2 linked regions of the Xenopus tropicalis genome follow. The protein of the gene in region 1 purifies or fractionates together with the protein of each later gene. This does not show direct contact. Links are inferred from orthologs where the notes say so. Each region holds a gene or a part of one and is shown on either strand. Other genes may lie near its edges.

Region 1 (4,001 bases):
GCTGCAGTTGAACTGCTTGTGGTACAGAATTTACATGTGACTGAATGTAGGGAGAAAGGTATGTTATTCTGGGCACTATTTCTTTTGGTATTGAAGATGTAGCTTTTATATTGTATTAAACATTTTAGTATCTTTTATTTTTCAGCTAAATTGGCTTAGTGTTGACTTCAATAACTGGAAAGATTGGGAAGATGACTCTGATGAAGATATGTCAAATTTTGACCGCTTTTCTGAGGTAACTGGTCCTTTTGTAACAGCAGTACTTCAGCAGAACCTTTATCTTAACTGTGTTCCTAACAATGTTTTTCTCAAAAAAATGATGTTTATGATAAAGACTTTAAGGGGGAGATATCAACATTCGAGTTTGACTTTATCATTTAAAGGTTTTTGTTCGGTAAAAAACTCCAAATTTGAATTATGGTTCAAAAACTCAAATGTCTGGTATTTAAAGTGCTAAAAACTTGAATGTAAAAATTCCCCATCTAAAATCTTGTGAGCTTCTATAGAAATCAATGGGAGTTGTACTAGGCAAAGTCAAGCCATATTTTCAATTTGGGATATTCAAGTTTTTGTTTTTTTGACTTTGTAAATTCTAAATTTCTACTTAGTCTAGTTTTTTTTGTTTGGTTTTTTAAATTGCACGAATTTACCACATTAATAAAGAAGCAAGCATTCGATCTGTGAGCTAATTTGATTTAGAAAAACAAACTCAAATTCATAAACTGATAAATATGCCTATAAAAGTTTTAAAACTAAAATAGTACCTGTCCTCCTGTGATGGATTTTTTTTAAACCTGCCTGATAGAACTGGAGGAGGGGCAGAGTCAGCAAAATTTTTCAGCATGTATATGGCCACATTAAGGGGTTCCATCTACTGACCCAGTTACAAAGAAAGGTGTAAATAAAACCATAGGGAGGAGAAGGAGGAGAACCCCCCTTATAGCTCTGTCTTGATGGTTACTTCTTTGCTTTTTGTTTTAAATTGTAATTTTCTTTTGTTATTTAATTTTATATACAGGTGTTATGGTTACTTTAATGACAACCTATTAAAAATGGTTAAGTATTGGTATTTTCATACAAAAGAACAAAGGCTTGGCTACTTAAATGCTTTTTCCCCCCTTCTTTTAAACAGATGATGAACAATATGGGTGGAGATGAGGATGTAGATTTACCAGAAGTAGATGGTGCAGATGATGTAAGTTCCAGATCTTACTTAAATGATCATACAGGGGAAATTATGCTCCTAGTTTTCTATTGGATCCAAAAAAAGCTGAAAACTTGAGCTACCTTTTTGAATGGTTTGTGAGAGTTAGACCACTGGCATAGTTTATAGGAAGAGATTTATTAGGGTGATCTAAGAGCAAAAACTGAGAGACTGCTCTATAAAGGCTCAGATGTTTTATATGCAGTCTGATTTGCTCCTGTGTCTGCACTGTCAGCCTGGGAGCAGTCACACACAGCATATTTTGGTGCAAACATGTATAGTCGCCTTTGTGCTGAAATCACCTTGTTTTTTCACCTAGGCCGACACAGTGCCTGTCAGTGCAGACGCAGAAACAGCTACAGATGGAACTAGCCTTAGATGTACTGGTTCCATGTGATGCCAGGTTAAAATATATAGAATAAAAAGGCTATTAAAAAGTTTTGTTCAAGTGGATTTATTTACTTAAAATAACAGCATGGAAGAGAGAGTTTTGTACAGTTACATTGACACTGAACATCTTAATTTATATCTCATGTTATTTTTAGGATTCACCAGACAGTGACGATGAAAGTAAGTTCTGCTTCTTCCATCTATATAATATCTTGCCAAGCAGAGACATGCAAAACTACAAATTACATAAACTACTAAGCTGTCCATTTTCTAAACTTTTTTTTCTTTTCTTTTTAATGTTTTCTTAACAGAAATGCCTGACCTTGAATAAGAAGTCCTCTTGCGGTTTGGGAAAGGGATGGGAAAATAGGTGGAAAGCAAAATATTTCAACACACTGCAACAGTTGCTGATATCTGAGTTGTAAATACAGTTACTGAGTACTTCCAGTCAGCCTTGTTTGTTTATCACCACCAAATGGCTTTCATTGAGGGTTGGAGACTACAGTTGTACAGTGCATCCTTCAGACCATTGAGCCTCTTCTAGATGTACTTTTTAGATTACCTGTATTTATGCAAGACTTCACAGCCATCCTTGGTATTGCATATAGCCACAATATCAATGCACTTACATTTTTTTTCAAGGGAGAAGGTGGGGGTGTTCATCTCATCTCAAGCAGCAGGTCACTTACATGTGTATCTCTTCTGACAGCACATTCCCAAAATTTCCCAAATAATTGTACTCATATAGCGATTGTAATTGAACCCAGGTTAGGTTTTTTCATTGTGGATCATAAACACAGCCAAGTGGTTGAAAAGCATTGTACTGGGATGCACAGTTGGGTTTTGCTTGTAGGTCCTGCTTTGGATGGCACTGGGTTATAAGTAAAAGTAATGTGGGCAAATGAAGAGTGTTAGAGACATCAGCAATTTAATCATAGAAAGTTGTCTTTCAAGTAATGCAATTGATCGTTTTAAATCAATGTATAATTGCAGAAGTATCAATTTTCAGATCACTTTACAGTAAACCTGCAAAGAAATTGTAGAAAGAAATAAGGGAATATAAAACAATCTACAGCTTTTCTTTTTCTCCTAACTAGTTTTACGTAGTGTTTGCCCAGTCATGTGACTTTTGGGAGTTTATATTAAATGCAGCGCAGAACGTAATTTTCCTTTAATAGTCTCTTCTGTCAATACTGTGACACAAACTGATTTTATTTACCTTAATTTTGGTGTGCTTATGTATTTTTAATGCTTTAATACAACCATAAAATGTGTTCCTCGTATCAGTTTCCAGTAGTACATTCTATTCATTTGCTACCCCTGATTCAGATAACAGATTTTTAGGACATCCGTAATCTGTATGCAACATTTGTCAGTGAATTCAATACATGTGCTTTTAGAAGGGCTGTCTGGGTTATTCAGATTCAGGGTTTGTGGACACCAAGAATGACCATAAAAACTTGGTTCTCACAGCCCCTGAAACATGCCTGTACAATTGTTTTTTCCACCCTTTTGCAACTCTACGTTTGGAAGAGTGCAGCCAGCTGTACATTATTTCTCATCAGTCTGTACATTTAGACCAAATTGTATTTGCACTGTCACAGTATATATTAAAAAAGAGTAACAATGTTAATACACTATTCTGTTTTGTTTTATTCCTTTTTTTTTTTTTTTTGATCAGGAAAAGATACCTAAAGTTGTATTGGAAGTTGTGGGGATTTTTTTTAATTGTCTGCATTATTTCTAATAAACTGTTAAGAGACTATGTGATATATTTATTTTTTTTATATTTTTTTTTACACATTATATATGAATTAAACATATATATATGTTGTTATATTGTTAATAGGCTAATAGACTGTTGTAATTATAAGCTAAATGTTAATGCTACAGTTAGGTTACTAGTTATATCCCTGGATAGTTTATTTTCTTACAAAACTGATCTTTCATGATTAAAACAATAGGCAGGAAACTATGCTCTGTACAAGCCCTATTCATTGCATTGATGTTGAGCAAGGGGATATACTGCCCCTACACCACATGTTCTTAAATTAAATAGGAATTGCAGAGCAGCTGTATTTAGAAATCATTTTTTTTTCCCCACCTCAAACGGGAATTGGATTCCTGTTAGTCACAATATTGAGTAAAAGAAGGGGGTGGAATACTGGAAACCTAATTAGATTAAACATGGAGTAGCTTTAGGGCTCTGGCACACGGGGGAGATTAGTCGCCCGCGATTAACTCCCTGTTCGCGGGCGACTAATCTCCCCGAGTTGCCTACCTCTGCCATCCCACCGGCGAACATGTAAGTCGCCGGCGGGATGGCAGACGCGCCGGCGCGATTTCGCACAAATCGCCCCGCCGCGTCTGCCATCCCGCCGGCGACTTACATGTTCGCCGGTGGGAT
Region 2 (4,083 bases), on another chromosome or scaffold:
AATCAAAGCTGCCTTGGGTTCAGCAACGGCAGCTCTTCTGGCCAGTATAGACACAGGCATGGCTAGTGACTTACATCGGACGCGTCAGATGAATTTTTTCAACAGGCCCCGGCACAACAGGCTGCGCGTCCAGCGCAGCCTGTTGTGCCGGGGCCTGTTAAAAAAATTCATCTGAAGCGTCTTCGTATGGGCCGGTGTCCAATTCAGTTCAACTAGTTCATGCTGCAGACTGCACTGGTTTCTATGCTGCCATGCAGAATGCAATTGGATGAATTGCTAAAGTACAAGGATCTAACAGCAATATTTAATCATACTAATAATGGGAGTGGACCCATATTTTTTTGGTTGACAGTGAAAGCAAAGCCCTGATTGGCTGCTTTCTGATCAGTACAACACTGTTAAACCAACACCTGTTGGACAGCTCCACCCTGGGACTCATATGGGCGCAGAGCAATTAACTGCGAGTGGCTTAAAATAGCCCACTAGCGTTATGTCAGTTGGACACATGGGAACCAGCAGCACCCAGCTGCTCCCAGTACTTCTGCATGACTCCATAGGTCACATTAGGGTTTAACATGTGCCAGTACAGTTATAGTTGAACTGCAACTCTCAACAACCAATCACCGCTAAAGCCTAGAGCTGAAACCTTTCATTCAACTTATTTAGCAACTTTCAATTGGTCTTCATTTTTATTATTTATGATTTTTTCTCCCCCCAATTACTAGTCCTTTCCTATTCTTGACTTTTTTTCTGGCCTGCAACTAAAAATTCTACTTTGTCGTCGGGGATCAGTGACTGTTATCGTCATTCTTATGATTTCATAGACAATGTAGCAGAAGCCAGCTGATTAACAGACCAGAAGGAGAACCGATTTCAGCTACAATGTTTCAAGAGTAACATGGCCTATAGGAGCTAAAGCAATGGCCCCCAACCTTTTTTGCACCATGGCCCAGTTTCAAGCAAGACAATTTTTCGAAGGACCAAGGTTGGGGGGGGGGGGGGGGGGGGGGGGCCCACAACTAATTTATAGTATATAATTTAATTAGTACATATATAATGTAAATGTCATTATTACATTTTATATTATGCACTTTATTTTTATTGTTATGGATATTATTACATTATAAAATATAATACAGCTCACCATAATACAAAATCAATGGGAGATCAGGTGGCCCAGTTCAGCACAGCCCATGGCCCGGCACTGGTCCACGGCCTGGTGGTTGGGGACCCCTGAGCTAAAGGGCCTCCAGGAGTCCCCCAGGCAAGGGCAATCAGGGGTCCCCCAAACAAGGGCAATCAGGGGTCCCCCAGACAAGGGCAATCAGGGGTCCCCCAGACAAGGGCAATCAGGGGTCCCCCAGACAAGGGCAATCAGGGGTCCCCCAGACAAGGGCAATCAGGGGTCCCCCAAGGGCAGGCATCGCTGCAAATTGTGGCCCTGCTTTGAAAGGAACATTTAATCAGACCAGTAAGGCCTCTCGGCTCTTTCTGAACTACAACTCCCATATTCCCACTGACATTACTCCTGATTTGTGCTGCAAAATAGTTTAATACTCTTAAGGTGCCCATACACCTTCAGATCCGCTCGCTTGGCCTCCCGATATCCCCCACCTACGGGTGGGCGATATCAGGAGAATCCAGGCTAATTATAACGACGGGTATAGGAAAAGTCGGTCCGGGGGCTGCATCAACGAGCTGACGCGGTCCCCGATCCGACTAGATTTTCTAACCTGCTCGATTGATATCTGGCCGATTTCAGGCGAGATATCGGTGGGGCAGGCCTGTCGTTAGTTCCCATACACGGGCCGATTAGCTGCCGAATCAGTCTAAAGGTTCCCATACACGGGCCGACTATAGCTGCCGATATCGGTCCCTTGGACCGATTTGGCAGCTAATCGGCCCGTGTATGGGCAGAACACAACGGCCTGGCCGACCGATATCTGGCCTGAAATTGGCCAGATCTCGATTGGCCAGGTTAGAAAATCCGGCCGGATCGGGGACCGCATCGTTTGCTCGGCTGCGGTCCCCGAACCGACTGCCCCATAACCACAAATGTAATCCAATCGTTTGGCCCTGGGGATTATTTTTTTTTCAAGTTACTTGCTGCCCGATATCGACCACCCGTAGGTGTGGATATCGGGTGAAGATCCACTCGCTTGGCGATGTAGTGTATGGGCACCTTAAGGGACCTATATTGGCAGCTAGAACCGGCCCGTGTATGGGGACCTTTATAGGATTACCCCAGCACTAAATACTCTCACAAACCGACCTAGAACCAGACCCAATAGCAGCCAAATGATTGTAAGCAGGCACTAGGACCCAGCGCCACTGCGGAACCCACATGTCTATAGAAAGGCACTACCGTAACGCCTTAAATATCCGCGCCCCCGGCTCCCCCGCCGGGCCCAGGCCGGCCCTTCTTCTATATAAGCGGGCAGAGCCGCTTCCCCTGCTGCCCATGTTACCTGGCGAAGCAGAACTCGCAGTGGTTTCCCCGTTCGTTTACAGTCAGTACGTAGGTGTAGGCCGGGCAGCTGAACAGCAGCTCCCCCAGCGCGAATGGACGCGTAGCCTTCAGACCCCGGCCTTTCCCTGGGCTGTCGAACCGCTCCAGACCCTCGGGCTGTCCCATGGTGCGGGAGGGGGGCAGAGAGAGAGAATGACAGAGAGGGGTGCGCCTGTGCCAGGGACAGTCTATTAATGCTTCCCCCCTGCCGGGCCGCACTCACTCACACACACACTGAGACAGCTGGGCAGCCTGCCGGAGCCGCAGGGTCCTACCGCCGTTACCTGACTCCCTCTCTCTGTGTGTGCGCTGGAAATACTGCCCCCCTGCTGCTGCACGGAACTCGGGATCCCCTTTTAAAGTCATACTGTTATCATAAAAGCATTGCCTTCTTTTTATTGTCCCATTAGAGGGTTACAATGCTACAAGCATCTCCAAGAGGCATTATAGTTAGGCCAGTATGTGAGTATTTAATAGGGTAATTCAGCTGACCAAACTGTAGCCTGGCATGTGTGCCATTGAGAGGGAAAGATAAAGGGAAACAACAATTGTCTTGTGAAACAACAATGGCTGTTTTCCTAGGGCGGGGGGTGCCCAGACTTTTTCGCACAACGATTGACTTTGGCTCCTCCCTGCGTACATACGCGGTGCAGCTTACGCACGCATCCCCAATAAAGGCGCTGTGGTTCCGCATTTCCCTGGCTTAGATCCCACCAGAAGTCCACGGGGGATCGACTGCGATCAATGTTTTGGCCACCCCTGTCCTGCGGGGGTGCTTTAAAAATCCCTACCACAAAGCAAGACAGCACTGCTGCCCTTTGCTAGAAAGGAAGTAGGAACTAGTCACATGACTGTGTAAGCAGTGTCGGACTGGCCCACCAGGATACCAGGAAAACTCCCGGTGGGCCCAGGTGTCAGTGGGCCCTCCTGCTCCTGACCATTTGGCCTACTTCCTGGTCATTCCCTATTTCTGAATGGGAACAAAGAGGAGAAATAGATGGAAGAATAGATGCTAGCATGTAAATAAAAGAGACTAGGAGAATAAAGAGGTTGGGTGAGGAAAGGAGAAAAAATAGTTTAGAAAGTGGGCCCAGGGTCTAAGGTTTCTGGTGGGCCCCTGGGGTCCCAGTCCGGCACTGCATGTAAGCATACAGAGGACTGGGCACACTTGCAGTCAGCAGGAAGCTGATTTATTCACTGCCTCTGCCTTCTTCCCTTCCTCAGTTCTTAATCTGACCATACATGTACCAATAAAGTCACATCTTCAAATTTTGTATGTTGGTTGGACCCCCCACTGACCTATATTATTGTACCGTGCATATTGGGCAGTTTATTCATCAAGCTGGTTGGAAAATGTGAGCAGCCAATGGTAATGCAGCGATGGTTCAGAAACAGATTATCGGCCTCTGTATGGGCACCATTAGCCCAGAGTGTCCCAAGGGCGACTGTTATGTGAGGAAATGAAATTGCTCCTGCATAAAAGTAAATGGAAAATCCACCCTCAAGGGAAGTGCATGATGGGACTAAAAAAAGTTGCCAAATTTTGTTCAGTTCACCTTTTTCTGTTGATTATG

What was found. Proteins that work in one complex are often made in the same cells at the same time.
Region 2: the proteins of ptges3 (region 1) and smyd2 purify together in Homo sapiens (affinity purification with mass spectrometry; 3 studies listed by BioGRID and IntAct, with this or other methods). This does not show direct contact. The link is inferred for Xenopus tropicalis from reciprocal best matches to the Homo sapiens genes PTGES3 and SMYD2.

Annotation. Positions count from the first base shown.
Region 1 is NC_030678.2:138,770,180-138,774,180, reverse strand, and holds the end of ptges3 (prostaglandin E synthase 3), read left to right. Parts: intron 1-145; coding exon 146-235; intron 236-1,132; coding exon 1,133-1,195; intron 1,196-1,749; coding exon 1,750-1,774; intron 1,775-1,905; coding exon 1,906-1,925; 3' UTR 1,926-3,357; downstream 3,358-4,001. UniProt on the Homo sapiens protein: Cytosolic prostaglandin synthase that catalyzes the oxidoreduction of prostaglandin endoperoxide H2 (PGH2) to prostaglandin E2 (PGE2).
Region 2 is NC_030681.2:13,619,864-13,623,946, forward strand, and holds the start of smyd2 (N-lysine methyltransferase SMYD2), read right to left. Parts: upstream 2,818-4,083; 5' UTR 2,636-2,817; coding exon 2,469-2,635; intron 1-2,468. UniProt on the Homo sapiens protein: Protein-lysine N-methyltransferase that methylates both histones and non-histone proteins, including p53/TP53 and RB1. Specifically trimethylates histone H3 'Lys-4' (H3K4me3) in vivo. The activity requires interaction with HSP90alpha.